Linked DNA regions of Elephas maximus indicus. The main gene of each other region encodes a partner of the protein of the gene in region 2 in a complex. Links are inferred from orthologs where the notes say so. Each region holds a gene or a part of one and is shown on either strand. Other genes may lie near its edges. The genes, in order: PLCB3, guanine nucleotide-binding protein G(q) subunit alpha, CCKBR and CASR.

Region 1 (7,795 bases), on a different chromosome or scaffold from region 2:
CTTCTGCCAGTGAGCTAAGACAAGGCCCCTTCCAGTCCACGGGTCCTCCACAGCTCTGTACAGCCCTCAGGACAAGGCAAGGTCCTCATCATGACGTTTGCGGGCCCCACGCTCTGACCCCTCCCAGCCTCAGCTCTTGCCCTAAGACCTGTCACGTGGACCATGGACCACAGCCCACCCTTCCCCACTCCCAGCTTCGCCTCATTGTTCCCTTTGCTGGGATCACCTTTCTTTCTTTCTCTCCCGTGAAATCTGACCCACCTCCTCGGGGAGGCCTCCCCTGACCTCTACCCGGGCTTGGTTTCCCCAGGAGACCCCAGAGCTCCCTGAAGGTTGGAGCCGCTGGTAGCGCCCTTAGCTGAGCACACTATAGAGGTTTATGAGATGAAAACAGAGGGGGCGGACGTCTGACCTCCACAGCCCTCTGCATCCCTCAGGGTACCAATATGACCAGCCACCCTTATACCCACTTCCAAGTCCGTTTCTCCCTATCCTGCATCCCCCAGGACTCCCAGCCTCACAGCTCCCCCATCCCACCCTGCACCCCCAGGACCCTCACAGCCAGCCTCGCAGCTCCCCCCACCCCACCCTGTAGCCCACAGAACCTTACAGCCTCACAGCTCCCCCACCCCAGCCTGCACCCTCAGGACCCTCACAGCTTCATAGCTCCCCCACCCCACCCTGCACCCCCAGGACCCTCAGAGCCTCCCAGTTCCCCCACCCCACCCTGCATGCCACAGGACCCTCACAGCCTCACAAAAGAACAGACCGAGTCCCCCCAAAAGGGGGACTGTCCCTGCCTTTGCAACAGACAGTGAATTCTGTCCACCCTCAAATGGGCTTGTGGCTGGCAGGGTGCAGGGAAGGGCCCCCTGGCCCCATTTTCTGAGGAAGGCCTAGTCCCTGGCTTACTCCCAGGGCCACCCAGTGCAAATGATGGGCAGCAGCCAGAAGGGGCTGTCATCAAGGGCTTAGACTTGGCCAGGGCCCAAGTGGCCAGGTAGCCACAGGTAGAATTCTCCTCCCCCAGGCTCCTCCGGACAGAAGAGGACCCAACCTCACCTTCGGTGCCACCCCGGAACCGCTGCTCCCTGTCTGGTGGGTAATTATATCACCATCAGCATAACAGCTCACACTCTCTTGGCCCCTACTGTGTGCCGGGCACAGTTCTAAGCACTTCATATATGTGAGCTCACTTGGTCCTCTCAACAACGCCATGAAGGGTGTGCCTTTGTTATTCCCATTTTACAGATGGGGAAACAGATACAGGGAGGCTAAGGAGCTTGCCCAAGATCATGCAGGGGTGCCAGGATCTGCAGGCAGGAAGTATGGTGCCAGCATCTTGAGGCCTGGGAAGCAGGGGACCAGGACCTCTGCCAGGGTTCTAGCTCCAGCCTCAGCACAGCTCCATTGTGGAGTCTGGGATGAATCTCCTCTTTCAAGACCTCAGTTTCCCTTTCTGGAGAATGGGGACTGTACCAGCCCCACCCATCTCAGGGCTTGATTACAATGGACAAGAGATTGATCTGGGGGAAGAGGGGATGGGAGGCCCCAGAACTTCTGGGGTGCCTGAGCCACCCCACCTCAGTGTGTTGACACCCATCCCCAGCTGCTCTCTGTAGGATTCCCAACCCTGCTCTGGGCCTGAAGCCCCAATACTGTGGGGAGGGGTGAGTTCTGACGGTGCTGTCCCTGGTACCTCCCTCTGCCCCTCCCCAGGGGCCCAGCCTTTAAAGGTAGCCCCAGGCCCCCTGCTCTCCAGCCCCAAGCCCTTGTCAGCACCCCCACCCCACCCCCTGGGCCCTCTCTCTGCTCCCACTTCCTTATTTGGGTTTATCACACTGGAAGGAAAAGGAGAAACTTTTCCCTACAGGCTGGCCTGGGGGGAGGGGTCTCCCCACTCCCCAGGCACCCAGGCACTTCTGGTGGCACACCTGCTGCCTCAGGCCACGCCTCCAGGTCCTCCCTCCCAGCTCCCACGCCTCCTGCCCCACCCAGCCGGAAAGGAGCCCAGAGTCTTCCAGGCCTCTGGTCTAACTGGGAAGGAGCAGCGAGGAAGCACAGGCCGACCGGGTGGAGGCCCTGAGGAAGGAGGGCCCCAGGGGGCAGAGGGGTGGGAGGTGAAACTGAGGGTAGGGCGCAGGACTGGGTGGGAGGCCAGGGTGTCTGGGAAGCAGAAGGGCAGGGCAGCTGGAAAGGGTAACCAGGCTTTATTGGGGTTCAAAGTCCCCAATACCAAGGAGTGGGGAGCAAAGTTCTCCAAGGGTAAAGGAACTTGCGGAGGGCAATGCCTCCATTTGGGGGGTCTTGGTGCTCCTGCCTGAGCAGATGGTTGGGCTGAGATCTAGAAGCAGGGCAAAGGGGTGACAGCCAGAATGGGGTGAAAAAGTGATGAATGAGAGAGTAATGCTCAGACGATGGCACTGGGAAGAGTAGGGTTCCAGAAAAGGGGTGCCCTGAGCCAGACTGGGTGCCAGGGTCCCAAGCCACAGCAGGATGTCCAGGGCTGGGCAGGGGTCTGTGGACCAGGCCACTGTAGGGGAACTAGAATTAGCCTGGCAGGGAGGGGTGGGAGGAACGAGTGAAGGGGGGGGGCAGGATTTATTAGCCAAGGACTGGGGAGCCAAATTTTCCAGAGCTGAGGGATTGGGGCGGGGGGGGGGGGGACAAAGTCTTCATTAAGAGGACGCCTGGGGACTCAAGTTTCCGGAGCGCAGCCGGGCTGGGATGGGGGGGCCGGGGCCAGGCCAGGCTGAGATGGTCCCCGGCGTCTAGTCGAGCTTGAGCGGGGGGGAGTCCCCCACACTTACCTCGTCCCATTTGATGAACTTACTCCCGCGCCGCAGGGTCTCCACCACGGTGGGCGGCTCCAGCTGCAGCGCGTGGACACCGGGCCTGGCGCCCGCCATGGCCGGCCTGGAGGCGCGTCGGGGACCCACCGGTCCTCGACAGGGACCGACGGCGCCGCTGGTCTTTCCGCGCGGCTTCCGGGCGGCCCGCTCCGGCCCCGCGGCGTCAGCGCCCGCCCGCCCGCCAGTCTGTCCCGGACCGACCAGCGACTTCGCGGGGCCGGGCCGGGGCGGGGCGAGGGCGGGGCCGCAGCGGGGCCGCCCCTCCCACGGCGTCGGCCCGCCCGCCCCGCACTGGCTCCCTCTGGCGGCCGGGCTGCCACTGCAGTCAGAGAGGGGCTGGGGCCAGGGGCAGGGGCGCACCTGGCCTGGGGCTTGGCTGGGGGTTCAGCTTCGGGCCCAGGGCCCAGGGTGGGGAGACGTGGGGCCAGGATGGCTGCTGGAGGCGCAGCTGGGGGGTTGCGTGTAGAAGACGCTGCCGAAGGCGGCCGGGGTCTGCCCGCTAACTTTCTGGGGGACAGACCAAGAGCACTACTGGAGGGCAGGACTTGAGGGGGGTCGGGGGCGCAGAGCTCTGTCCCCCGCCCCACTCCCGCGGCACTTAGCTGAATGCAGGAAAAACCATTTCCACCCCCTCTCTGCCCTCACTTCGCCTCACCCCTCCCGCTGACGCGCGGTCCCCTCCCTGGGAGCACTTAGCCGGCTAATGGGCCTCCTGCCGGCAGCGCCCTCCCCCCTCCCTGGCCCTGGGAGGCCGGGCGCCTGCCGCCTCCGAGGACCCAGGCGTCCTGGCCTTCCAGGGCGCACCCCGGAACAGCCCCCTTCACGTGCCACAGGCCCCTCCGGACTGAATCTGAAGCCTGCCCCTGTGGGCCTCGGGCTGGAGACTGCGCAGGGGAAGCTGGTGGTTTGGCCGGAGGGTCAGAAGCCTCCTAGGTATCCAGAACAATGGAAGTTGAGGAGGGGCTCCGCAGTGCCCGGCCCACAGCAGGTGCCCTGAAATCTGCGTTCCAGGGTTGGGAGGAGGGGAAAGCACATGGGCAGGGGATGGGTGGGGGCTGCAACCCCTCCCGCAGGGCTTGGCTGGGGGGGCTCCTGCCTGGGGGCCCCTGTGGGAGCCCCCCCAATACGGAGGCAGTAGCGACAGCAGGTTTAAAGTAGAACTCATCCAGAGGGGCCAGCCAAGTCACCTAGAAACCCAGAAAGAGCAGAGCTGGTTCTGGGGGAGGAGGGGTCAGCCAGGGAGGAGCCGGCTCTGCCAGCCCCCTCTGCCCCAGGGCACTCAGACCCTGAGGGGAGCTGGGCCTGCCACTGGCCATCCTCAAATCCCCACCATGCCGGGCACCAACTCTAACCTAGGGAATTTTGCCTTTGGCCTTGGCCCTGTGGGGAGGATTATTATCTCCACATGAGGCCCAGAGAGGGGAAGGGACTTGTCCAAGGTCACACAGCTTCAGAGGTGATTTCAACCCTCTTACTTGAAGGCCGGCTCCCTTCTTGCCTCTACTCCCGGCCCTTGAGGAGACAAAGAAAAGGGGTAGGACCATCTATCTTTGTTCTCTCTCTCCAGGGCAGCAGAGCCAGGTCCCTCAGATTCACAGGCACCACAGAACCCTCTAGGGGAACTGAGCCGCACAGGGTGAAGGTCAGCCTCTATGCCCATAGACCTGGGTTCAAGCCCACTCCCTCTCGCTACCACCAGAACCTGGTCTCTCTGGGCCTCAGTCGCCTTCTCTGGAAGCTGGAGGTTGAAGAGGATTGAATAAGCGAATGAATGAGAGAGATGACCCCTGGCTACATGCAGCTTACCACCTAAGGAGTAGATGGAAGTCAGGTGGTAGGGGCATCAGGGAGAAAGGAGGAGGAGGAAAGCGGGAAAGGGTATAGGTCAGCTTAGGGCAGGGGCCCCTGCCAGTCAGGGCCAGGACCAGAGCTTGGGGAGGTCTGAACTGTGTCCCTAGACCTTGGCACAGGACTCAATAGATGAGCTGGGCATTAACTCCTTAGAAAACAGGATAGGAGCCTGTTTTCTGGACCTCAGCCTCTCCCCTTCCCTCCCCACCCCTGTGTCCCCTGAGGCCAGGGCAGCCCCCATTAATCTTTCCACCTTGGACGCTCATGATGGTAATGGGGTTCTCAGAAAGCAATAATGGTAGAAAGGAAGCCTTGAGTAAGGAGTGGTCACTGCCCTCAGGACCCTCCCTAGGGCCTCTGCCTCAGGGAGGCGCTAAAATCAGCCTTAGCAGCACTCTGGTGGAAGGGGGCTGGGATAGCCTGATCCCAGAGGGAAGGGGAGCGATGGACACACCCAGCCCCAGAAGTTTCAGGCAAGGGAACTAGGGCCGATAAGTGGGCTCAGGCAGCACTGGGCTCTTGGCCCCAATCACCAGAGGTCAGGATAATCAACCCCCTTGAAGAGGCTCAGGGCAGGTAAGTGACTTGCCCATGGCCTCTTAGGCTGCAGAGCAGAGCTGGGATTTGAACCTAGCTCTTCCACTCCAAGCTAAGATCCTGTGCATAGCAGCCCAGCTAAAGAGAAGCTCCAGGCCAGCATGCAGGTCCAGCCTCACCAACAGTTACTGGGTGAGTGGCCACGGGAAGGGAATGGACAGAGAGGGGATGGCCCCAAGAATCTGGGTGTGGCTTGGGGGTGTCTGTGGAAGTGGAGAAGAAGAAAGGGCATCACTGGGCACCTCCCATCCTGCCTTGAGAAGCCCATAGGTGACCTCTGACATTTGGACAGGACAGGCCTTCACACCTGCCCAGAGGGGAGGAGGAACTGGGTCACGGAGCATCTAGGGGACAGAACTGGGGCTGGCACCCCAGTCGTGGTGGTTTGCAGGCCCCATTCCCACAGCAAGCTGTGAGGCCTTAAGGGCTGGTTAGGTATTTCACCCCTCCTCTGGGTGAGCATCCCTGAGCCTCAATCAATGTTCAGGTTCAGAAAGCACTTGAAGGGCTCAGCCATCCTTGTGGGGTAGGTGGGGTGAGGTGGGGCGAGGTGGTGAATTTGGACTTGGGGCAGAGTGTTGATCTCATCATGCCAGGCTCTCCAGGGGTGGGTCTCCTTGTGGAAAGGATGGGTCCCACCTGATCTGCAAGAGCAAGGGTCAGCCCTTCCCTGGCCCCCTTGGCTGGGTGAAAGGAGGCTAAGGCCAGAAGGAGGAGCTGGGGAGGGAGCAGGCATCAGCTCACTCTACCCCGGCCCTGGACTGAGACCTGTGAGCCTGCCCCTCAGCCCAGCCCCTCAGGGAGAAGCCTAGTGCCCCCTCACCCCCACACCCACTATTCCCAGACTCTGTCTTCTCTTTGTCTCTTCTTCCCAGCTACAGGGTAGGCACAAGGAGGTCCAAGTCCTGAGTTCATGTTTGGCCACAGCACCAGCTGTGTAATCCTGGCCAGTCCCAAGTCATCTCTGAACCCCACCTGCTGCAGAGGGCTTCCTGGCTTCCAGGACAAGTGGGTCTGTGAGGGGCTGGGACGGAAATACCTGGTGCTTCTCAGACCCTGACAGTCTGCTTCGCGTGGTGGAGAGTGAGCCTGCCATCTGAGGAAGCATTCCGGCAGGAGCTGCACAACCTTATTGGGTGGTGTAGACAGGAGGCAGGGAGGAGTGTAGAGACTTCGCATCAGGGGTTTGAGTCACGCAGCCCAGGTTCAAGTCGGAGCTCTACCTCCATCTATTTGTGTGACTTCATCAACCTCTGTGGTGCAGTAATTGGACCTTATATGCATGTTCTTACTTAATCTTCACCACTATCCTCTGAAGAAAAGGAGACACAGAGGAAGCCATTCATTCACTCATTGATTTTTCAGTCAATAGTTATGGAGTCTGCCAAAGTTCCAGTTGCAGGGGGTTCAGCAGCAATGGAGTCATTTGTCCCATACACGGGGGTTTGAGGCCAACCTCGGGCATGAGCAGTAGCCAAGGTCTAGGACATCTGGGCACCATGGAGCTCATGGTCTAGAGGTGGGAGACAGAAAAAAAAAAAAAAAAGAGACAATTTAAAGATACAGAAAATCAAACAGGATGAGTCACCTTGAGAGGCATCAGTGAGACGTAAAGGACAGAAGAAGCCACAGGACGAAGATTTGGGGAACGGCAAATGCGAGGCCCTCGCGCTAGAACTGGCTGGGCGCCGGTCTCCATAAGCGCTCACTAAGAGATCAGCTGTTATTATTATCTTTATTATCATGAGTCCTGGCTCAGCCACGTCCCAGCTCTTCGCCTGACGTTCCTTGTATGTACACAAAGAGGTTGCGGGGTGCACAGGGCCGCGCCCTGTCGAGGCCGGTCCTAGGAGGGCGCCCCAAACAAGTTCCGAGCTTTCCAGCCCCAGCACCGCCGCGGGGAGGGGCGGCCATGCGGGGCCGGCCCCGCGAACTACACTCCCCATGGTGCCATTCTCCGCCGCCATCTTGGCCGGTGGGCGGTGGCTGCCTGGGGTCTGGCCCTTCAGGGCTGGGCAGCCTGTGCCCACCTCCATCCTTGTCTCCTCCACAGGGGGTGCGGGACCTCGTCGGGCAGAGCAATCGGGGATCCGGGCAGCTCCTGCCTGCCTTCTCCCTCCTCGACCCGGGGGAGCCGGGTCCACGTGTCAGTCCACGCGGAGAAACTCGCTCGCCCCCCGTTGGCCTAGGACCGGAGAACCAGATGTCCGGACTCCGGTGTCTTCTCCCCGACCCTGGCCCTCACACGGTGCCCACTCCCCTCTAACCCAGACGGCCCCATTCCTGCCTCAGTGGGGACCGAACACCAGGGTCCCTGCCGGGGAGGAAATACTGGTAGCGGGCGCTCAGAACGCTTGAGCTTGGAGCAGGAAGATTAAAAAGGGTGGAGGGCAGACAGACTTCAAAACCCTGATGGCCAGACCCTCCCCTAGCCCCGCCGGCGGCGGGGCGGGGGCAATGGGCGCGCAGCGGCGCTGGCCCTTTAAGGGGGTGTG
Region 2 (7,873 bases):
ATCGTATGCCTATCCATACAATGGCTTGGATAACTGCTCCTCCTTCTGAACACCTATAGCAATCTATTCCCTATACTCAGCAGGGAATGCTCTGCACCTTGTGTTGTTGTTTGTTCGTTAACGCATGCGACTGACCGCCCAAATAGAGTATAAAGGCTTTAAGGAAGGGCCTTGGATGGCTCTGGCATAATGCCCTGCCTGGGACAGGCAATCTGTGAGTGTGTTTGTCTTTGAGGCAGGTTGTTTATTTGTCACTTACTGAGTATCTGCTCTGGGCTAGGCGTTGACGACTGTTATGGAAGACACAGTCCCTGCTCTCAAGCAACTCCCAATCTTATGGGAGAGTTGTTAGTTGCCGTCAAGTGGATCCTGCCTCACGGTGATCCTACGTGTTTCAGAGTAGGACTACTCTATACGTAGCGCCTTCAAGGCTGTGAACTTTTGGAAGCAGACTGCCAGGCCTGTCTTTCAAGGTGCCTCTGGGTGGGTTTGAACTGTCAGCTTTTTAAGTTAGTAGTCCAGTGCTTAACTGTTTGCTCCGCCCAAGGACTCCTGGGAGAGAGAGAGAGGGAGAATAAGTAGACAATTACAGCAGGGTGGCACAGGCTATGAAGCAGCCATGCTATGTGACTATGAGAACAAAAGAAGTGCTGAGAGTCATTGATTAACAAGCTTTCCCTTCCCCAGGAGCTCTTTCTACAAGAACTGGGCCTTTTCATTGAGTCTGGGATCACTCCTCACAATACTGAACTATGACTTTTACTGCTTTGTTCTGCCCCACCCCAGAGTCCCAACGACAGGTAATGTGATTGTGGTGATAGGTATCCACCTTAGGATACCAAAGAAGATGTGACAGTCTTCCCATTTTCCTCTGGAGTTTAACGTTCTTTGGGTTTTGTGGTTCGCTTTTCAGCTATCTAGTAAATTCTCAAAATGTTTTTTTTTTTTATCTTGCTATCTGGGGTGATTTGGGATTGCTCATTTATTTTTATGAGGTGTAGATCCCCATTTATTGAAAAGTTATTCATTCTCCACCTTCCTCGTGAAGTCTTCAGTTCTCCCTAACAGAAGGAATTATTCCTTTCTTTCTAAAACGTTTTACATTGTCACTTCTACCCCTACTTTAATAAAATTAATCTCATTTTGTCTTTTATTACAGCTGTTCAGAGCCTCATTATATCTTAAGACTATAAGCCTCTTGAGGGCAAGACCATATTTGATTCACCCTAGTGGCTCTCTCTTCCTGCACCTTCATCTTTGTTATTTATACACAGTGGGCAATGAATAAATGTTTCTTGATTGATATACTGACATTTTGTAACATGATTCATGTTTAGTTGCATATTTTAGAGTATATGCTTCTAGAACATGGCCGATAACTTTAGTAGTTCCTGCAAGGATTTTTTTGTGTGACATATGAATATTTGTTTGATAAATGCTTTTCAGATATATAGGTAAAGGTTTCTGGATAAGTCTAGGTTCAGACATGGAATATTCTTTTCCTCTTTCCTTCTTGCCACCTACACATGGCTCTATTATTGCGTTGGTTTTCCTTACTTCCTGATTTCTTCCCAGTACTTGAAGAAACATCTGATTTGTTCTATCTATGGAAACCATGGTGGCATGGTGGCTAAGTGCTACAGCCATTGACCAAAGGGTCGGCAGTTCAAATCCGCCAGGTGCTCCTTGGAAACTATGGGGCAGTTCTACTCTATCCTATAGGGTCACTGTGTCGGAATCGACTCGATGGCAACGGGTTTTTTTTAATTCAAATATCTATTGAGTGCCAGGGAGTGTCACTGATACTGGGTGTGCAAGGGTGACAAACTAGATTTCCAATGTATCTACAAGGTTCAAACCCACCCATAGGCACCTCAGAAGTAAGGCCTAGAGATCTGCTTCCGACAGGCCACAGCCTCGAAAGCCCTAAGAAGCAGTTCTACTTTGCACACATAGGATGGCCATGAGTTGGAATGGGCTGGACAGCAACTACCAATAACAAACCATCTGCTGAAACAGTTTAATTTCTTCCATCAAATAATAGGTCAATTCAGTCAAAACAGATTACCTGATAGTTTGATAGCACTGTTTGAGAGACATTTTCAAAAGACTCAGTGCATCCTTTGTGAGGAAACCGCAGACTTGAAGCTCGCTGTCATTTGATTTTCTATTGTTTTTTGCCTCTCTGAAACTCAAGTATATACGTATGGCAGAGAATGCAGACTCATCATTAAGTTTTTTTCCCAGAAGCCATTCTAAATTTCTGCATATTGAATTTCAATCTTTAATTTCATCAGTCACTTAATTTTAAATTTTTAATCTGGCAGCAAGTTTACTGGCTTTTCATAGACTTTTGCATAACAGAGGCGAGATTTGCCCTGTCTGCTTTCCTGGTCAAGGTGAAATTGAATCATTTTCTGGGCTGAATATTCTTTTAAAAACCAAACAAAAAACAAACCCGTTGCTGTCACGTAGATTCTGACTCATGATGACCCTATATATAAGAGGGTAGAACTGCCCCACTGGGTTTCCAAGGAGCAGCTGGTGGATTTGAGCTGCCAATCTTTTGGTTAGCAGCCATAGCTCTTAAGCACTGCACCACCGGGGCTCCATTCCTCTAAAAAGGAAACTAAAACAGCAGATCTTATACCTCCATGATTTGCTTTTCCTTCTGGCTTACAGTGTGTGTGTGTGTGTGTGTGTGTGTGTGTACGTGCTGGGGTGGTATGGGGGTAATGACAAATGGAAAGAACGAAGTCATAGAGCTGTCAACCAAGAACCCAACGTGCGCTGACCTACAGCAATAGTACAGGCTACCTTTGGCTTGGCTTGACCTTACTTTACATTCTGGATCAGCACCTTGCACCAGAGACATCTCAGAGAAAACATAAAATGAGAAAAAGAGACTCTCCTCATAAAGTATACTTGAGCAGGAAGCAATGCGGGTTTCTTTCACCTCTTCTAGCTGTTAGATCAACAACACCCGCAATCGGCAAGGAAAAAATTTTTTTGCCATTTATCAGTAGTACATCACAACAAAATAAGCCTCAATCAAAAGTGGAAAAACAAATAATCAGAATGGAATTTTGCTGGGACAATCTTGATTTTCTCATTTTTATATATGTATTTTTTCCTTTTCCTTTATCCCACATTATTTTGCATTTTCCCATACGTCATCCATAACTGAATCTCCGTCTAGGAAAATAAGTTTGATTACTTGCTGTTAAACACCATGTGTCTTCACAAAAACAAGAGGCGGCCTTGTAAAAAACAAAACAAAACCACCTTCAATGGCATGAAAAGTTGGAGGCCATCGGGAAGCTCTTGCAAACTTGGGCGTCTTCATTTTTCTACTCAGGATTTAGATTTCTTTGTGGACCGTTTCGCCTGTTAATCTTCCTCTTGGCCCCTCCAAGAACCAGTGACTATTTCTTCTATTCCCCAGTCCCACCCCACAACTCAGATGATCTTTATTTTCTACGACTGAACTAGGGTCAGAGGTGATGCAAGATACTTTCTAACCGAATGGCGTTTTAGAAACAGGAATGAGAAAGAATACACAAGCGGGTTTACGGCTGCAGTGGGGGGGGGGGCAGAAAGGCGCTGCTGCAATAGGGGGCCCTGGCGCGAGCGCCACCGCCGCCTGCAGGGAGCGGGCAGGGTGTGTGCGCCGCCAGGCTGTTCGGTGGGTTTGCGGGCCTGAATCCTCCGACTTCCAGCAGGGGCCGAGGCTGCTTTCCCGGGCTCGAGGGCTGGAATTCCAGGCAGGCGGAGGCCGCCATATTCCTGCTTTACCACGCCCGGGCGGTTGGCCCGGCAGCGGCAGGTTGGCGGCGGCCCCAGACCACAGCAGCGGCCGCCGGTTGGGGCACCGCGTCAGCCAGCCAGGGGGACCCAGCCCCCGCCCCGACCCCCGCCGGGGGCGGCCGTGACCGCTGCGCCCGCGGGCCCCTACGAGAGCGCTGGAGCGGGAAGCGCCCGCAGAGCCGGAGGGGGCCGGTCCCGAGCGGTGAGCTGCGCGGGAGAGGCCGGAGCCGCACCAGGAGGCGCGCCGCGGCGGCTGCGAACCCAGGAAAGCCTTCCAGGAGGGGCCGGGCGGCCCCGCCTCCCAGCTCCCCTCCTCCCGCGTCCGTCCCCTAGCTCCCTCTTCCCCCTCCTCCCGCCGCTGCCGCCTCCCTCCCGGATCTGTGCTCCAGTTCAGAGAAAGAAGAAAATGTGTGTGTGTGGCGAGGGGGAGGGCGAGCAGTGAGCAGCCGCTCCGCGCCTGGCAATCGAGGCCGGGGGTGGGCGTCTGGCGGAGGCGGAGACGGAGGAGGAGGAAGGAGTACGCGGCGGCGGGCGGTCGAACCGGCCGGCAAGCGGTGTTTGCGCGCGAGCCGGGCGGTGGGCGCGGGCAGGGCCGAGGGCGCCCGGGAGCCGTGTCAGGCGGCGGCGAACAGCGGGCGCGCCGGGCGCGGGGAGCCGTCGGCGGCCGCTGGCTGCGGGGACGTCCCGGTGGATGTGCTCTTGCCGCCCGGCGCCCAGCTTAGGGGAGTCTCGGCGGCCGCGGCGGCGCGGGGGGCGAGGCGGGCTCCCCGTTCCCGGGGAAGGAGGCGCGGGCGTCTGAGCGAGGCCGGGCGCGGCGGCCTTCCCCCGCGCGCCCCCCGAGCCAGCGCCCGCGGCCGCCTCCCGCGCCCGCCTCGTTCCTCCCGCGGCCCAGGGGACCACTCCGAGCCGTTCGCTCCCGCCGCGCCCCCCGGCCCACCAGGTGGCCCGGCCCTGGCCGTGGTCCCCGCGGCGGCTCCCCGAGCTCGTCCCGGCCGCGCGCCCGGGCGGCGAGGGCTCGGCGGCCACCGCTGCCTCCGGGGAGCGAGGGTGGGAGGGTGTGTGTGCGCGCGTGTGAGCAGGGGGTGCCGGCGAGGCTGCAGCGGAGGCACTTTGGAAGAATGACTCTGGAGTCCATCATGGCGTGCTGCCTGAGCGAGGAGGCCAAGGAAGCCCGGCGGATCAACGACGAGATCGAGCGGCAGCTCCGTAGGGACAAGCGGGACGCCCGCCGGGAGCTCAAGCTGCTGCTGCTCGGTGAGTACGGCCCGGGCCCGGCCGCCTGGTGCCCTCTCGCCGGGCTTCCGTGTCCCCGCCCGCCACTCCCGGCCCCTCGGGGTAGCTGCCCATGGCGCCCCCAGCCCCCGGCGCCTGTGGCTCACCCCTGCCCTCCCTGGGCGCGCGGGCGCGCCCCTGGCCACCACCCGCAGGCGCGCGGACGCGTACAGACACGCGCGCGCGCGCGCACTTATACACACACACACACACACACACACACACACACACGCACGCTTCATGCTGCCCTGCCGGGTGCCTTGGCGTGTGCCTTTTCGTGTCCCTAGGGCTGTGAATTCGGGGTGCGCGTTTATCTGCTGTGCATCTGCTAAACGGAAAATCACTTCACGGGAGAGGCTCGGGGCGCGGGGGTGGGAAGGTGGGCAGAGAGGTTGAACTTAAAGTGTCGTAGCGCGGCGCCCGGTGGGATGGTCGCGTGGGGAGCTGTGTGTGTGTGTGTCCCCGAGCGTGGCGAGCGGAGCCAGGACACGCTAGAAGATGGTGTGTGGTGGAGTGGCGTGTGCATCCGCTATCAGTGCCTTCTGGGGTCTGGAGTTAATTGGGGAGCGGTGGGCAGACTCGCGGCTGGATTCGCCAAGAGTGGTGATGAGGTATAGGAGTGCCTGGTCCTCCAAAGAAAGGGGGCTTATGTACTGGGGAGAGGGGCAGCCCCAAATGCTACAGAAGTGCTATTCTTTAGCCGTCAGACCACCGAAAGGAGGGACCCCAGAGGAGTTTCTTGGCCAGTGGATAGTGACAGGCTTGTTTCTCGTCTGCACCATTCCTTCCGGATAAAAATGAGGGATATGGGAGCGCTGTGCTGTGTGGTTGTTGACAGCGACGGGTATCTTTTGTTTAATGAAGGCAACCCAGATGTAGGCCTGAATTCACAATAGTTACTACTGAAAACCCATGCAGCCTCCAATTACTCCCATGGAAACAAATAGAAACCTTTTGTTTGTTTTAAACAGACATCGTTTTAATATCATTGGAATCTGGGCTAGAAGGAAAACGGGAAGCTTGTAGCAAAAATTTCCCTTTAATCTCTAAACAAACAACTCAACATTCTGCTTTAACACTAAGTTAGCAAGAAAATGCCATTTCTCAAATAGGAATTCTATTGATTATTATCTCCGAGAGAATGTTCAGTGTCAAGCCATCAGGGTTCACATACAAGCCAGCATGACATAACTCTGAGCTTTTATTGTGGTAGGAAGTGCAAACAGCTTTGCAGTAACAGGCCTGAAAAATGTCTGCACTTGTGTCCTGGCTTTTTGCTTGTATAATAAATATGTTTCTCCAACATTTCAGTAAGAGAAGAATATTGCATTGTCAGTTAGGGTTTGAGAAGCAGGCATTTTCTTATCTTGAGCGTTCCATCTTCTGGCTCAAGGAACCAATTGCCTTTGTGACTGAACTGCTATGTACTGGATCATTTACAAGAAGGAACAAAATATAATGATCACACATAGTTACAAATGGTTAATTCACATGCCATGCGTTATGTCTTCATTTGGAAACCCGATTAGGTAAGTGTGCACAGGTTTATAAAGAACAGAAGGCAGAGCCCTAGATGAAAGAGGTGGGCTTAAGGGAAACTCCAGTTGGAAAATGAAGGTTTTTTTTTTTAATTCTCATTTTTGGGTTGCTTTTAATGGTTGACAATGTATAGTTGAATGTTTTCTGAATTCTCAAGATGAGGAGAAAATAGAGAGGGCAAGAAAAATGTATAGAGTGCTTAAGGGCTCAATTACGGGAAAAAGCATGTGTTTTAGGGTGATTTCAGTGATTTGTCTTTCGAGTGATTTGATTTTTCTTTTGCCGTTTACAGTCGTTAGTTGTTTCTGCCTAGCTGTGAACAGGGCGTTGGAGGTCTCTCAAGCCAGCCCTATTGCCTGAAATTGACAGCAGCTCTGAGTTTCCCAGCAGCTGAGTTAGAGCTGGGGCTTTGCCCCAGGGCCTATGTTTGAATGCCTAGGAGGAAGACTGCTGGGGAAATAAAACATATATGGATGCCTGATTACATACTGTGCATTTAAATAACACACTGTGCATTTAAACATGAACTAGGAGATGATTTCGTGAGGGGAAAAATGGAAAGTAAAACAGTGTTCCTGCTAAAGTGGTGTTGGTGTGGAGAACTTCCCCCCCCATTAGGTTTTTGAGTAGGGTTTAATACAGCCCTCCTGCCCCCATATGACCTATTAGAAGTGGTAGGGAAATATGACATAAATTGAGAATCTCCGTTTATAAGTAAGGTTTAAAAATGCTACAGCCGTCTATCAGAAACACGATCACTGGATATCATGTAAGAGCTGGTACAGCTTTATGTTCTAGGTTTATTGCACTGATAACATGTAACCACTGCAATATCTATAATGTGGATATAGTCACAGCATACACTAAGTGTAGATTTGTGGGTGAGTGCGGGAGCGTGATTTCACAATTTTTTGAGTCCAAGAGGGAAATGATGGTTGATTTGCGGAACAAGGGAAGGTGTTGGGGAGGGGTTCCCTTTGAGGAAGCCCTGATGTGTGCTGTGCTGCTGAGTAGACTGAGCCTTCCGGTTCCTCCATTCATTTAATCGGTATCAGCCCAGAGGGGGTGACACTATATGTTCTTTCACAGTTTAAAGATTTCCTAGTATTTTTTAACCAGCTTATTTAAATTGAAGAATCACCTGCATATTGATATTCAGTATAAAATTATTTTCAAAGTAAATTGTGGGTCAAGGCATGATGCCATTTTAATGGGCTTGTTGGACAGGGGTATAAGGGTGGACTCCTAAATTTGT
Region 3 (7,435 bases), on a different chromosome or scaffold from region 2:
CTACAAAATTTCTTGAAAGTTTTGTCTACACACCCTAGTTCACTTCTCAAACCCCCTCTCCCACTGGCCCAACCTTTAACCTACTGCAGTCAGGCCTCAGCACCCACAATTCTACCTAAGAACTTTCTTGCTGTTGAATATGAAGGTCACTGTTCTGCCCTTTTCCAACTATATTGCCAGTGTTTGACATCATTTACCCTACCCTAAAAAGAAGCCCTCGTGGTGCAGTGGTTAAGCACTTGACTGCTAACTGAGAGGTGGTGGTTAGAACCCACCAGCCACTCCGCAGGAGAAAGATGTAGCAGTCTGCTTCCGTAAAGATTATAGCCTGGAAACCCCACGGTGCAGTTCTACCCTGTCGCATATGGTTGCTGTGAATTGGAATCGACTCAAGGACAGTGAGTTTGGTTTTGGATCCCACCCTGCTTGAAACTGTCTTTTCCCTTGACTTCTGGAAGGACATAGCTCCTGTCTCTCTGATAGTTTGGTCTAAATCTATTCCATGGACTCTCCTTCCTTTGCCTGGCTTTTAAATATTGGGTTTCCCCAGGGTCCTTTCCTAGGACTTCTTTTCTTTTCATTCTACACAATCTTTGGATGATTTTATCTATTCCCATGGCTTCCATTACCTCCTCTAGGCAAAGGCCTTTCAAGTCTGTATTAATAGCTCAGACTTCTCCCTGAAGCTCCAGACCCACAGATTCAACAGCCTACTGGGCAATTTAACCTGGATGTCTCACTGGCATTTAAACTCAGTGGGTTCCAAACTGAATTTATAATCCCTTCCAAAGTTGTTTATGCTCCTTTGTTATCCTTCTCATTATAAAGCACCAACATCCATCCAATTACTCAAGCTAGAAACCTGGGTTTCATCCCTTGACCTCTCCCTCCCACCCCACTTCTAATCAATCACCAAGTCTTGTTGATTCTGCTTCCAGAAGTGGCTCTTCTCTCCATCTCCATTGCCAGTACCTTTGTCTAAGCATCTTGTTTCACCTGGATAACTGTAATAGCCTTCTAAAGTGTTCCTCTGTCCTCCGTCTCATGTCCTCCAATCCATCCTCTACACTATACAACGAATCCTGGTTTAAAACCTTTTAGTTGTTCCCACTGCCTTCAGGATAAAATCCACACCCTTTAGCTGGGTCTATAAGAGTCCGTAAATACACTAGTTTGATCTCCAGCCTGAGCGTTCATTATTCCCCTCAGATGGTACAAGTCAGTCAGAAACTATGTCACACTGATTAAAAGTGCCATGAATTTACACTTTGGGCTTTTACACATACTTTCCTCTGCTTGGGATGCTTTTTTTTTTTTTTGCCTCTTCTTCCCCCTCGCTTGGCTGGATCTCTCTCATCTATCTGATTTCACCTTAGATATCACTTCCTCAGACTTGATTTCCAAGTCTGGGTTTGGTGCTTGTCTTCTGTGTTCCCACAACCCTATAAGGCACTTTTCATTTGGGGCTGCAATTCCCTGATTACTTGTCTGTCCCCACCACTAAACTGTGAGCTCCATGAAGTAGAGACTGTTTCAGTTTCGTTCAACTCATTCCCCGGTACCTAGCACAGTCTCTGGTTCGGTAAATATTTGTTGACTGAAAGAATCTAAGTGAGTGTGTGTAACAACTGAGCTGAGAAAGCATGCATTATTAGTTTGTGGAGTAAATCAATGCTTGAACTACAGTGCATTCTAACTATTCCCTTCTTAACACTGTTTCCTCTCCTAGAATTGCCCTCCTCCCTTTTCTGCCTACAGAACTCCAATTCTAAGAGTCAGCTCCCCTCCTCTTGAAGTTCTTGGTCCCCATCAGTCTGAACTAATTAATTCTGTCCTTTAAGTGTTGACAGTTCAGACCCTCTCACGCCACTGGCCACGCTGACCGTGATTTATCCATTGGCTTGTCTCTCCTCTGTACTTGACTATGGGGACATCTTTGTGTCCCCAGAACTGGGAGATCAGGTGTTCGATAAACATTTAAAGAAAGGAGGGGTGCAGGAATTATCAAGAAAATGATGATGTGAGCTGATGAGAGGATTGAAAATCTCTCTTGGGGACTGGGTGATTGGAAGTAGTCTGAGGAGGGTAGGAAGGGGGAGAAGATGGTGGCACAAAGGGACGGAGGCTATGGAGTGGGCAGGCTGGCTCATGGAGAGGGTGAGATTTAAGGATAGGCAGGATGCAGAGGGGGCCTGGAGACTTGGAGACAGAGAGAGAGAGTACAGAGCCTTGAGAAGAACCTCAACTTGGGAGATAGAGGGGTTTGAAGGCAGTACCCAGTGCCGTCGAGTTGATTCCGACTCATGAGGGGTTGGAGGAGTGAAATGGGGAGCAGCCCTTAGGGGGTCAGGCATGAGGATCTCCTTTGGGAGGGCTGGGGCTTATGGTGGGGGACAGAGGAGATTACAGCTCTAACTTCCCATTCAGGCCTTCCAGAATGCTCCCTCCTCTAACCAGATCCCTTCTTTTCTCAATCTTCCCTTCCTTTCTTCCCTCCCTTCCCCAGCGTGGCACCAGGAACTGGATGTAAAAGGAAAAGAGATATCTCCAAGGGTTGACAAGAAGAGGTCCTTGTCTCCCAACTCTCTGGGTCAAGGAGGGGGATGTGTGTTGTGGGGAGGGCTGTGAGGAGCTGGTGTGGTGGTGGGGGGTCGTCTGTGTGAGGGGCAGCTGAGGGAGTACTCCCAAGGAGATGGTGTGGCCGTTTGAGGCGGCAGTGTGGAGGGCGTGGGGAGCTTCTATTACTGCTGTAGGGTGCTGTGAGAAGGAGCTTGTGAGGAAGGTTAGGGAGGCACCCACCTCGTGTCCCGGCTCCGCGGATGCGTGGGGACTCGCAGCTGAGGTTGCTGGCACTGCTGCCGTTGAGGAGGAGGCCCCCTGGGCGGCACAGAGAAGCCCCCGACCCAGGTCCGGGTCCCGGCACGCTCCGGTTCAGCCTCAGCAGCTCCATGGCCCCAGCGGGGCCAGCTGCCTCCGTCCGCTGGGCCGGGCGGGCTCCTGCCGCGGCTCCACCTGCTCACGCTGCGATTCAGGCTCAGACGCCCCCGCCCCCCGCGCCCGTCTGGTCCCCGCCCCAGCTCCGGCCCCACGCCTCAGCTCTGCTCTGCGCGCCCTGCCGGGGCACTGGTGCCTCCCTGGCGCGGGGCCGCGTCTGTCCGGCCAGGTGATGCCTCCGCCCCCGCCCCCTGCTGCGGACTCACCCGCCCCCTCCCTGCGAGACTGTCCTCCAAGGGTCCCCCCACTCCCTGGATCTCTCCAGTCTTCTCTTAGAGATTTCCTTCCCTCTCTCTTCCCCCGCCCCCGATTCCGGGGAAATCTTGGGGAGAGAGAGAGCCAGAAGGCCAGAGAGAGAAAGAGATGTTATGTGTGTGTGTGTGTGTGTTTGTTGGTGGGAGGGGCCGATGCGGGGTGGGGGGATAAGAGGGGTGGAGTAGGGCGCTACTGCCCCGGGTTCCTGTATCTCTTTGGATGGGGTAGGGAACGTGCAGGTGGCGTCGGAGACAAGGGCTGCGTGTGGGGGTCACCCGCTGCAGCGCAGTTGCTTTAGCCCCAGAGAGGCGCGGAGTGGCCAGTGACCTCGGCACTCTCGCTAACCTAATGCCCCTCAGCTCGTCACCGCAGGGCTGGGGTAGCCTCTGCATCTGCCCCGGCACTCTCCACCTCCTACCCAAGGCCCAAACCCAGGCTTCCACCCAAGGCTCAAAAGAACTTCCAGTAGCTGGCAGGGGAGGGCGGGGGAGAAGGAGCGCATTTGTCCCCAGGAAAGCCTTGGCAGGGGAAAGGGCTGCCTGGAGGAAGAGTCTGACTTGGACTTTGAGAGCGGCCAGAGGTGGTGGTGAGAAGTGCCCGGGATAAACGGGGATGAGATAGAGGATGGTTCCAATCCGAGCCCAGCGCAGGCAGAAAAGGGGAGGAAGAGGCTGGCTGGCTTTCTCCGCGGTTTCCAGGCAGCGCCCACTCCCACCCAACACGCTGATGGCTCGGTGTTTGCTCTCAGCGCAGGTGGAGCGGCCGGTGTAGTGCGCCTGGTTCCCACGAGAGGGGGCCAGAAGGGGGCTGGGTCACCGAGGGGCAGCGGCAACAAAGGAACAGGGGGCGTGTGCAGGACTGAGGTGGGTTCAGCTTCTTAGGGCAGGACGCCCCCTAATATTTCAGCACTGCCAGCTATCCATCCTCCTGTATTCCTAACAAACTCCAGTCCCCATCAGTAGCTGCAAGAGGTGGGGGCATCAGTCAAAGAGCAGATTAGCGTGGGGATGGGTTCCGGGTTTATGGGGAATTCAGAGGACCTGGTCCATCCAGCGCTGAGCTGATTGCGGCTGGAGCACTGAAGGAGGGTTTCAGCCTGAGGTGGCTGGGGATGTCCTCACCTGCCCCTCTTTCCTTCCTCCTGGCAGTACCTGCCTTGCCCATCAGAGGAGCCTGATTTGCTGTTTATTCAGAGGCAGCCCAGGTGGGGCCTCAGATAACCTGCTGTACTTTTCCCACATTGGATGGAGGGGCGAAGTGAGGGTAGGGGAGAAAAGGGAATGTTGAGGAGAGAAAGGTGGAAATAGGAGTCATGGACAGTCATTCACTTATTCAACAAAGTATGTGCCAGCTATAGGGCTGAACCCTGGCTGTCCAATACAGTCTGTGCTTGAGTAGCTCCCAATCTAGTGGGGAAAAATGCTTGCAATATATGTCATAAATGCACCCACCAGGTTGCGCAAGTCAGAAATTTAGGAATCACCCTTAATGCCTTCATTCCTGTGGTGGAGGCTGTGATGCAAAACCCAGACCCCTTCAAAAATGAAGGATTTATTCTTATCTCAAGCTGGATTTATTCTCAATTTCATACCTGAGCTGAAGAGAGCTGGTTTATCCAAGGTGATGTTTGCTTTCTAAACCCACTATCCTAAATCTAATGACTGATCAGTGCAGAGGTATAAAGTCCTCATCCCAATGGAGGACAACTCTGAATGACATTTACAGCCCCAGAGCTCCTTATGGGGTTGACAGAGGCCTTCATTGGGACTAAATTACTGCTTAGCTTCTCCCTTTGCCCAGTTCTGTTTTTGTCCTCTCTCTTGCACAGGTGTTGACTCCAAGAACGCTCTTAGTAAACATCTCTGTTTTAGAGTCTACTTCTTGAGAATTCCAACTGCATTACTCTCATACCCAATCAATCACAAAGTCCTGCTGCCAAGCAATTTGGAAGACAGCTACCTGGCCCACCAGCTGGAAGAGCTCCATATTTATGCCTATTCCCAAGAAAGGTGGTCCAACTGAATTTGGAAATTATCGAACAATATCATTAATATCACATACAAGTAAAATCTTGCTGAAGATCATTCAAAAGCAGCTGCAGCAGTATATCGACAGGGAACTACCGAAATTCAAGCCAGGTTCAGAAGAGGACATGGAACCAGGGATATCATAGCTGATCTCAAAAGGATCTTGGTTGAAAGCAGAGAGTACCAGAAAGATGTTTACCTGTGTTTTATTGACTATGCAGAGGAATTCAACTGTGCGGATTCTAACAACTCATGGATAACATTGCAAAGAATGGAAATTTCAGAACCCTTAATTGTGCTCATGAAGAGCCTATACATAGATCAAGAGACAGTCTTTCGAAAAGAACAAGGGGAATACTGCGTGACCTAAAGTCAGGAAAGGTGTGTGTCAGGGTTATATCCTTTCACCATACCTATTCAGTCTGAGCAAATAATCCGAGAAGCTGGACTATATAAAGAAGAATGGGGCATCAGGATTCCAGGAAGGCTCATTAACAACTTGCGTTATGCAGGTGACACAACCTTGCTTGCTGAAAGCAAAGAGGACTTGAAACTTCCTGATGAAGATCAAAGACCACAGCCTTCAGTATGGATTACACCTCAACATAAACAAAACAAAAATCCACACAACTGGACCAATAATCAACATCATGATAAATGGAGAAAAGACTGAAGTTGTCAAGGATGTCATTTTACTTTGGATCCACAATCAACACCCATGGAAGAAGCAGTCAAGAAATGAAAAGATGCATTGAACTGGGCAAATCTGCTGCAAAAGACCCCTTTAAAGTGTTAAAAAGCAAAGATGTCATTTTAGGACTAACGTGCACCTGACCCAAGTCATGGTATTTTCAATTGCCTCATATGCATGGAAAATGGGTGATGAACAAGGAAGACAGAAGAATTGATGCTTTTGAATTGCGGTATTGGAGAAGAATATCGAATATACTATGAACTGCCAAAAGAACGAATGAACCTGTCTTGGAAGAAGTGCATCCAGAATATTCCTTAGAAGCAAGGATGGTGAGACTTTTTCTCACATACTTTGGACGTGTTATCAGGAGGAATCAGTCCCTGGATAAGGACATTATGCTTCTTAGAGGGTCAGCGAAAAACAGGAAGACCCTCAATGAGATGGATTGACGCAGTGGCTACAACAATGGGCTCAAGCATAACAATGATTATGAGGATGGCACAGGACTGGGCAGTGTTTTGTTCTGTTGTACACAGGGTCACTATGAGTTGGAGCTGACTCGTTGGCAGCTAACAACAAGTGTTCCTTGAATCAGTCTGCTTCCGTCTTACTGACATTACCCTACTGGCATCTCGAGCTCTTGTACTACTCTCCCAGCCTAAGTGGTCTACCACATTTTACTGATGCTTTCTTATGCCCATCCACTACCTTATAGCCTGAGTAATGTTTCAGAAAATAAATTTGATTATCCCACTCTTCTGCAAGCAAACCCTTTAACAGGGCCTGCAAAATCTGTGTGGTTTGGCTCCTACCTGCCTCTCCAACTTATCTCAGGCCACTATGGCCCTTGTTCTCTCCACTGTAGACATGCTGGACTTCCTTTAGTCCCTTTCATTTGCTTTAATTCCTTCAGCTACATGGTCTTTGCATATGCTGTTAGCTCTTTCAGAAACCCTGGTGGCATAGTGGTTAAGTGCTACAGCTCTTAACCAAGAGGTCGGCAGTTCAAATCCACCAGGTGCTCCTTGAAAACTCTACGGGGCAGTTCTACTCTGTCCTATAGGGTCGCTGTGAGTCGGAATTGACTCGACGGCAGTGGGTTTGGTTTTTGTTTTGGGTTAGCTCTTTCTGGAAGCTCCTTTCCTTCCTTACTGCCTTATCTCCTACTCAACCTTCTGATCTCAGCTCAAGCAGCAATTCCTCAGTGAAGCTTTCCCTGGCTTCCCTACCTGTGGCAGGCAGAATTAAAAAATGAGCCCCAATGACCCTCACCGTTTAAAATCTTTTTTCCTTGAGTGTGGGTGGAGCCTGTGCATATAATGAGATATCGCTTCTGTGATTATATCACCTCTTATGGCAAAAGGGATTTTGGAGATGAAATTAATGTTACTAATAAGTTGACCTTAAGAGAGATAATCTAAGTCTCTCCTAATCACAGGAGTTCTTTAAAAGCAGAGTGATTTCA
Region 4 (6,930 bases), on a different chromosome or scaffold from region 2:
GATTCGCCCTCAGTGGGAGTTAATGTAACTTACTCCAATTTACTCCAAATTTGTCTCGGTCTCTCCAGTGGTTAGGATTCTAGGAAGCTCCGCTGTCAACAGTCTTAGATTTTCCCGGTTGGCAAGAGCATTAAAGTTTCTGGCCTATCTGGAGAAGTCCTTGGGTGGTGCAAATGTTAACGCGCTCAGCTGGTAACCAAAAGGTTGGAGATTCCAGTCCACCCAGAGGCCCCTTGGAAGAAAGGCTTGGTGACCTACTTCCAAAAATCAGTCAGTGAAAAGCCTGTGGATCACATCAGTCCAACCCACAATCTATCATTAGTTCACCTGTGCATGTGGTCACCATGGGGCGGGGCGGGGCGGGGGGGGGGGACGACTAAATGGCAGCTAACAACAACCCTTGGTGTTTTGTCAAACTCCTGCTTCAGCCCTTACAGTGAAAGGCACGTGATCAACATTCCCCCAAGGGAGCCCTTCAGCGCCTTTCCTGGCAGCCATGATTGTTAGAAAGCTCTCATTCTTTTTGAACTGAAACCTGGCTCACCACACCTTCCACCCACTGGTCGTAACAGAGTGTGAGGCAGTATCTCCCATTTTTCAGCCATCTGAGTACCACCTCTACCATTTCACCATATCCAGACACCACTGGTCCTATGAGTTCCTCAGTATCTCTCAAATTACCCAATTTTCTTACTTAATTAAATTTATTTTAAAAGGAAACTACATCAACTTGTATGTGGAAAACATTCTTTGTCACTATTAGAATATATATATTATTTTTCAAGGAAGAGAAAATGATGATATTAAATTCTGCTTAGGAACTATTGCCGAGCAAAAGTTCTGAGCCTGAGGTAGGCTCTCTCTTTGTTAAAACAGGAAATTAGTAAGTGTTAAAAAAAAAAAAAAAAAAAGCCCTTTACCATTGACTCATAGTGACCCTATAAAAAGATTTTTATAGGACTGAGTTAAACTGCCCCATAAAGTTTCCAAGAAATGCTGGTGGATTTTAATTGCCGACCTTTTTGTTAGTAGTGAAACTCTTAACTACTGTGCTACCAGAGCTCCTATAGCAAGTGTTAGAAAGGTCTAAAGACAAAGTACAGCAAAAATGATACTTCTCAGCCCTGGTGGTGCAATAATTAAGTGCTCAGCTATGAACCAAAATGTTGGTGGTTCGAACAAGGGGCTATGTGGGAGAAAGACCTGGCGATCTGCTTCCATAAAAATTAAACCCCCCCAAAACAACCAAACCTGTTGCCATCGAGGCTATCTCGACTCATTGTGACCCTATAAGACAGAGTAGAACTGCCCCACAGGGTCTCCAAGGAGCAGCTGGTGGATTCGAGCTGCTGACCTTTTGGTTAGCAGCTGAGCTCTTAATCACTGTGCCACCAGGCTCCTCCATAAAGATTACAGCCTAGAAAACCCTATGGGGCAGTTCTACTCTGTCACAATGGGTTACTATGAGTAAAAATCGACTCCATGGCATCTAACAGCCCCAACGACAACCTTGACCTAACCCATGGGATCAAGAGAATTGAAAATGGCATTTTTTTTTTCCATCATGTATTTCAATGTTAGTTAAAGTCATTGTGTAGCACTCAAAACCGTCTCGTGTTCTATTGCCGGTGCCTCTACACCTTTACTTAAACAAGGTTCTTGCCTCTCACTGGTCAAGAATGAGCAGGCAAGGCACAGAGAATTTTCCACACGAGCAAAGCTTTATTAAAGAGGCTTGCAAGCTGAGATGAGGAGGACCCAGGCAACACTTAACCCCGTCTCTCAGAACAAAGGACTTACATGGGTTTTCAAAAATTCTTGGTGGGGGGGCAGGATTCAGGTTTATTCAGAGGCACAGCGGGGGTTTTCCCGCAAGTGGCCCGTTTTGGGCAGGGATAGGTTAACTAAGGTGCGCAGTGCAAGTGTGAAGCAGCTTTTTAAGATGTCTTTAAGACGGCTCCTGTCCCAGAGGCTTCTGGGATCCGTAGCAAGACTTATTATGGGGTGTCGCACCTGTGCAGTCACCTGTTCCCCAAGTTCGATTCCCCAGCTGTGGCTGCAGCCCCTCACTACCCCTGGTGGAAGGTCACACAGCGGTCACAGGTGGATGTTCTGCACATGTCCCTGGGGCTGGTTTCATCTGACTGCTTCGGAAAGACAACTTTAAGGAAGTTTCCGGGCCGTTTTCCGATAAGAAGTTTCCGGGCTGTTTTCTGATACCCTGCTCCATTGTTCTGGGGAATGGGTTTGTTTCTGCGTTTGGGGCCCATTTCCTGTTACTTTGTTACTTTCATTTGTTTATGTGAATTGCAGATTTGGGGGCCCCTCTGTTCCCTGTCTTAGTTCCTCTATTAGAAGAGGCACACACTGGGACACACTGATGAGTTGATCAAGCCTGCAGGCTACAGTCAAGCTGATCAGGTCTTGGTCTGCTGCTCCCTGGCTGCGCCACCTGGATATATCACTTAACCTCTGTAAGCCTGTAAGTTTCTTCATCTTTAAAATGGGAGTAATAATAGCTCTTCAGAGTGATGCTTTCTTAAAGGACAGTGTCCAGATTTGAAAATTATGCCCAGGTGTGAGCCAGCTTTTGCAGGGAGGTCATTCAGCCTCAGACTATTGTTTCTTTATCCTTTGGGCACTGAATAGGATATGTCCGTAGCCAACTGAAGTCTCTAGACATTTTGATATGTTCTGCTGCTGCTGAGCTGCGATTTCCGACTACAGGGTCGCTATGAGTCGGATCCTTCGTTGTGAACTTGTACTGCTGAGTGTTTGGGCCGGGAGGAGGACTTTGCATTTATCCTTAACTAGGTTGTCCTCTTCCCTTTATCTTGGCGCTTGAATATTTGCTCAGCTCCTTCTCCTACCCAGGGGAAGGAAGCAAAATGGGCAGAACTGGGCTATGATTAGCATGCATATGAGGCTAGATATATATGTATCAGGCAACTTCGTTGAGCATCTCATTTCATACTCCAAGAACTCCTTGGGGGAGGTGCTATTCACATTTTACAGACAAGAAAACTGCATTTTCATATGAAATGGTTAAACATGGTAGAGCTATGCAATTTTTCTACTTTTTTGCTTAGTATTATTTTGTAAACCCTTTTTCATGTTGCATATTTTCCTTTTTTAAAAAATGCAACATGTTTTAAAAGAATTTGAGGCACTCTTGCCTTGGCATTTATCACTTTAATGGTTGTATAGTATCCCATTAAATTACTATAATTTATTTAACCAATTTCCTACTGTTGACGGGTTGGCTTTGTTCGTTTTTTTTTTGTGGTTTTTAAAAAGTATTATTTGTAATAAATAATCCTGCTATGAACATCTTGCACATGAGAATAATTTCATTCTGGAAATTTCCCCAACAGGGGAATTACTGCACCAGAGGGGGTAATAATTTTTATGGCTTTTATAGAGACTAGCAATTTGCCCACCCAAAGGAATATGCTTTATTTGGTGGTACAAAGTAAAAACTAGCTTTCTACAAAGAAATTAATTTTTCCGCTTATTTGCAAAATATCCTAGCGCGAGATGGGTGGCGGGCGCCTTGCGAGGGGCTGGCTTCAAGGATGAGCAAGGCTGGGTCCCGTCTTCAAGGTGCTCACGGTCGGGCAGAGGAGAGAACGCGCCAGCAGGCGCCTGCGGCCAGCGGGCGAGAACCGCGCGCCCTCCTCTCCTGGCAGATGAGTGGAAGGAGGGAGCAGTTTGGGAGTACTGGGAAGCCCTGGCGACACAGGCAACACTTGACCTGAGTCGGCAGAATGAGTAAGAGTTTTGGCACGGGATTTATATTTATTCCACTGCGAATCTCTGGTCTTTTATCAGAAAAAAATTCTCCACTCTTGGCACAGTGAACGCTGGCGGCGTCGCAAGCTCCCAACCAAGGTTGTAAACCTCTTTCCATCTCTTAGGAGGGGACGGGGAAGCCGAGGCGCGGCCCCGCAGAAGTCAGGCGAAAACCTGAGCGCGGGCCCGCGGTCTCCCGGGACCAGACCCGACGCGTGGCCTCGACGAGGGAAGGCGCGCCCTCGGCATCCGGCGCCGGAGGACTCACCGGGCTGGGATACGGTGAGGCAGCCGGGGCCACCCGGCTGGCGGATTAGCGAGCCGCCGCGGAGGGGAGCGGGGCTCGGCTGTCCCCAAGGGGACAGGCGGGCGGGGAGCGGGAGAGGGGCGGAGCTCCGGGTCGGCCTGGGGGTCCGCGGGGGCCGCTGTGGCCCGACCCGAGGGCGGGCGCCGGGAGCGCAGGGAGCCGCGCGCCTCTGCCGGACCGTGACCTTGGCATCAGGGAGCGTGCCCCGCGCGCCGTCCTGCGCTCGGCCCGGAGCCCGTCCTCGCGGAGACCCAGAGCCGAAGATCCGGCGCTGTCCTGTGCGAGGGAGCCCGGGCCGGGGCGCCAGGTAGGACGGAGGGACGCGAGGGGGCGGGCGAGAAGCGCCCCGAGTGGGGAGGGGCCGTGGCGAGGTCTGGGGGGCACTGGCTCGAGGGCCAGACCGAGGGCGCACACCGTAGCAGCTCGGACCTAGAAGCACTGTTGGGTGGGTGGGGAGACGTTGAGAGGTCAGGGCCCAGGTTACAGGACCAAAAGCTGCCTGGGTGCCGGGCTCGGCTGGTCAGTGTTGCCCCAGAAGGCGCGGTGGGCCGTCTTCGGGAATGAACGCGAGTGCCAGCAGGAAGAGGAGCTGTGGTAGTGTCTTGTGCCTCCGCCTTACTTCTGCCCGTGACACGGTCAGAAAAAACTCCCTTTTTACACGCGTTAACAGAGAAGCAGGCGGCTTTCTAATGTGTATGTACACGGTGGGCGCGCACGGTGTAGGCACCTGTCCTGGCAGGATCCCTGAACCAGCCAGCCAGCTGCCCCGGGGACCTCGCCTCTGTGACGCCAAGTTAGGGTGTCAGTTCCCGGGGCCTAATCACCCTGTAGTTCTTGGGGTGAGTGGCAAGAGTACAAGATAATAGAATCTTTTATTGTTATTATTACTTTACATTTATAGTTTTCAATGAGTAATACATGCGCATGGTTAAAAATAAGCAAACGCTACCAAAGTTTACCTTCTAGAGATAATGTTTGTAAATAGCATTTGCATTTGTTCATCTCTCTCCTCCTTTTTTTTTTTTTTTTGCCCAAATCATTTCTTACTCCTTGTTCTGTCCCCCTCCTTTGATTCTTTATCCCACCCAGGAAGGATTACCCAATAAGCAAGGTAAACACGGCCTGATTTGTTTTTACTTACTAATCTGTAGTGAACAATTTCACATGTTTTCACCACAAAAAAAAAAAAAAATGCGAAATTGTTCACTGTGGATTAGTTCTGTAGGAAGGTGCTGTGGGGTTGGGAGAGAGACAGATGCCAGCCATACCTAGAAGCAGAATCTTTGATGTGGTGAAAAAATGTGAAATTGTTCACTACAGACGATCTAGTAAGCAAAGTAAGTACCGTGCTTACCTTCCCTGTTGGATAATCTGCCCGCCCATGCCATCCCCTGCGTAATGGAAGTACCAGAAGAAAATAGCATCACTGCCCCATCCCTTAATCTCCAGTGTTCCTGCTCACACCACCTTTGTCATTGTGAAATTGTGTTTCACTGAGGTAGCCCTCAGGGTAGGAAGCCCACTAATGAGAAGACATTTCATTTACTTGCCTTAACTCTCTCAGTGACCACAAGAGCAGTCTGTGACAAGTTCTGTATTCACTTACACTTTCCCCTAAACTGGACTTTCCAAGTGCAGTTTAAGTAGGGTCAGGTACTGAGGAGAGTTAATGAAGGATGTTTCCTAAAATGCTCTAGATTTCTAGAAATTAATACCTCACTAGTTCCTATTTCTGGAAGTAGAACTTTGCCAGTTATGCCTTCCCACTCCCCCCGTCCCCCCACCCCCCATCCCTCCAATCCCATCCCCAGCAGAGTGACTAGAGTAGGTTTTTCCCCCTTTAGGAACCTGGGAGGAGTCCTGTTGCTCGGTAGTTAAGTGCTGGGCTGCCAACCAAAAGGCAGTTCAAACCCACTCTCCCTGAGGGAGAAAGATGTAGCATTGTAGGAGAGGCAGTAGCAGGAGGACAGGAGGGGAGGAGCAGGCCAAGACCCTTGAATGGAGGAGAATCCTGGAGCAGAGGGCCCTGGGAGATCGGTCATTTAGCAATGCGCCCAGAGAATTTTGCTAAGAGACCACACGTGGCTTATCTCTTGCCAACAATCAGCACAATCAACTGTTTCCCAAGACTTTGTCTCAGCAAGACCAGAACATGTTGAAAGGGGGAAAAAATCAGCAAACCAGCCCATTTTTCAAGAAAACAAAAGTAGTTTAAGTTATTTTTACTGAATTAACAGGTTCTTTTGGCGTTGTGTACAGTGTTTAAAATAACCTAACAGCATTCCAGTCACCGTGTTTTCCTTTATTTTAGTCGTTTTTTCATGTTGCACGAACCCTGGTGGTGTAGTGGTTAAGTGCTACGGCTGCCAACCGAAGGGTGGGCAGTTCGAATCCGCCAGGCGCTCCATGGAAACTCTATGGGGCAGTTCTACTCTGTCCTGTAGGGTCGCTATGAGTCAGAATCGACTCGATGGCAATGCGTTTGGTTTTTTTGGTATGACTTTGATCTGGATCTCACACATGTCAGAAATTTCAGACGAGTTAGAAGCTGCCACTTCCTAAGAAGTCTTGAATGAGGGAAGGGGACTAGAAAATAAGGACTGGTCCTTGTAGTAGGTTTGGGGAATAAGGGAGAGGAATGGGTTGAGCACAAGTTGGAGACTGGTAAGCAACAGAGTATAATCCTTAAGAGAACAGGGCTTTGCGTGAGTGAGATGTAAAAGAATCATTCATTCAGAATGAGTGCCTGGCTATATGCCAGTCACCGGGGACAAAACGGTGAATAAAACCAGCCAAGGTCCCTGCCCTCCTGGAGTTTGCAGATGCTGTGG

What was found.
Region 1: the proteins of guanine nucleotide-binding protein G(q) subunit alpha (region 2) and PLCB3 are in contact, whole or in part, in a cryo-EM structure (PDB 8UQO), measured with the Homo sapiens proteins. The link is inferred for Elephas maximus indicus from reciprocal best matches to the Homo sapiens genes GNAQ and PLCB3. Residues at the interface, in NP_002063.2 of Homo sapiens: Pro185, Thr186, Thr187, Ile189, Glu191, Pro193, Arg202, Gln209, Arg210, Ser211, Glu212, Arg213, Arg214, Lys215, Trp216, Ile217, His218, Val240, Glu241, Glu245, Glu249, Glu250, Ala253, Leu254, Arg256, Thr257, Ile258, Thr260, Tyr261; in NP_000923.1 of Homo sapiens: Pro257, Arg258, Leu259, Asn260, Glu261, Val262, Leu263, Arg707, Asp709, Lys710, Ile719, Asp721, Gly722, Ile723, Val724, Ala725, Ser845, Asp846, Tyr847, Ile848, Pro849, His852, Tyr855, Ala856, Ala858, Leu859, Ile860, Asn861, Pro862, Ile863.
Region 3: the proteins of guanine nucleotide-binding protein G(q) subunit alpha (region 2) and CCKBR are in contact, whole or in part, in a cryo-EM structure (PDB 7F8W), measured with the Homo sapiens proteins. The link is inferred for Elephas maximus indicus from reciprocal best matches to the Homo sapiens genes GNAQ and CCKBR. Residues at the interface, in NP_002063.2 of Homo sapiens: Arg30, Arg34, Asp35, Arg37, Arg38, Leu40, Ser198, Val199, Phe341, Lys345, Asp346, Ile348, Leu349, Gln350, Asn352, Leu353, Lys354, Glu355, Tyr356, Asn357, Leu358, Val359; in NP_795344.1 of Homo sapiens: Thr87, Val88, Thr89, Asn90, Glu151, Arg152, Ala155, Ile156, Pro159, Leu160, Ala162, Arg163, Val164, Trp165, Gln166, Thr167, Ile241, Leu245, Gly248, Leu249, Val331, Leu335, His394, Arg396, Phe397.
Region 4: the proteins of guanine nucleotide-binding protein G(q) subunit alpha (region 2) and CASR are in contact, whole or in part, in a cryo-EM structure (PDB 8SZG), measured with the Homo sapiens proteins. The link is inferred for Elephas maximus indicus from reciprocal best matches to the Homo sapiens genes GNAQ and CASR. Residues at the interface, in NP_002063.2 of Homo sapiens: His63, Leu196, Gln197, Ser198, Ile323, Tyr325, Ile337, Arg338, Phe339, Phe341, Ala342, Lys345, Asp346, Ile348, Leu349, Gln350, Leu351, Asn352, Leu353, Glu355, Tyr356, Leu358, Val359; in NP_000379.3 of Homo sapiens: Lys644, Ala645, Asn647, Arg701, Val702, Leu704, Val705, Phe706, Ala708, Lys709, Ile710, Pro711, Thr712, Phe714, Phe801, Arg873, Thr876, Ala877, His879, Ala880, Phe881, Val883, Ala884, Arg886, Ala887, Thr888, Leu889.

Annotation. Positions count from the first base shown.
Region 1 is NC_064825.1:127,429,767-127,437,561, reverse strand, and holds the start of PLCB3 (1-phosphatidylinositol 4,5-bisphosphate phosphodiesterase beta-3), read right to left. Parts: upstream 3,046-7,795; 5' UTR 2,910-3,045; coding exon 2,811-2,909; intron 1-2,810. UniProt on the Homo sapiens protein: Catalyzes the production of the second messenger molecules diacylglycerol (DAG) and inositol 1,4,5-trisphosphate (IP3).
Region 2 is NC_064827.1:94,374,615-94,382,487, reverse strand, and holds the start of guanine nucleotide-binding protein G(q) subunit alpha, read left to right. Parts: upstream 1-4,828; 5' UTR 4,829-4,925; coding exon 4,926-5,061; intron 5,062-7,873.
Region 3 is NC_064825.1:59,927,972-59,935,406, reverse strand, and holds the start of CCKBR (gastrin/cholecystokinin type B receptor), read right to left. Parts: upstream 3,003-7,435; 5' UTR 2,951-3,002; coding exon 2,800-2,950; intron 1-2,799. UniProt on the Homo sapiens protein: Receptor for gastrin and cholecystokinin. The CCK-B receptors occur throughout the central nervous system where they modulate anxiety, analgesia, arousal, and neuroleptic activity.
Region 4 is NC_064819.1:12,719,578-12,726,507, forward strand, and holds the start of CASR (extracellular calcium-sensing receptor), read left to right. Parts: upstream 1-3,923; 5' UTR 3,924-4,074; intron 4,075-4,244; exon of another isoform or gene 4,245-4,406; intron 4,407-6,930. UniProt on the Homo sapiens protein: G-protein-coupled receptor that senses changes in the extracellular concentration of calcium ions and plays a key role in maintaining calcium homeostasis.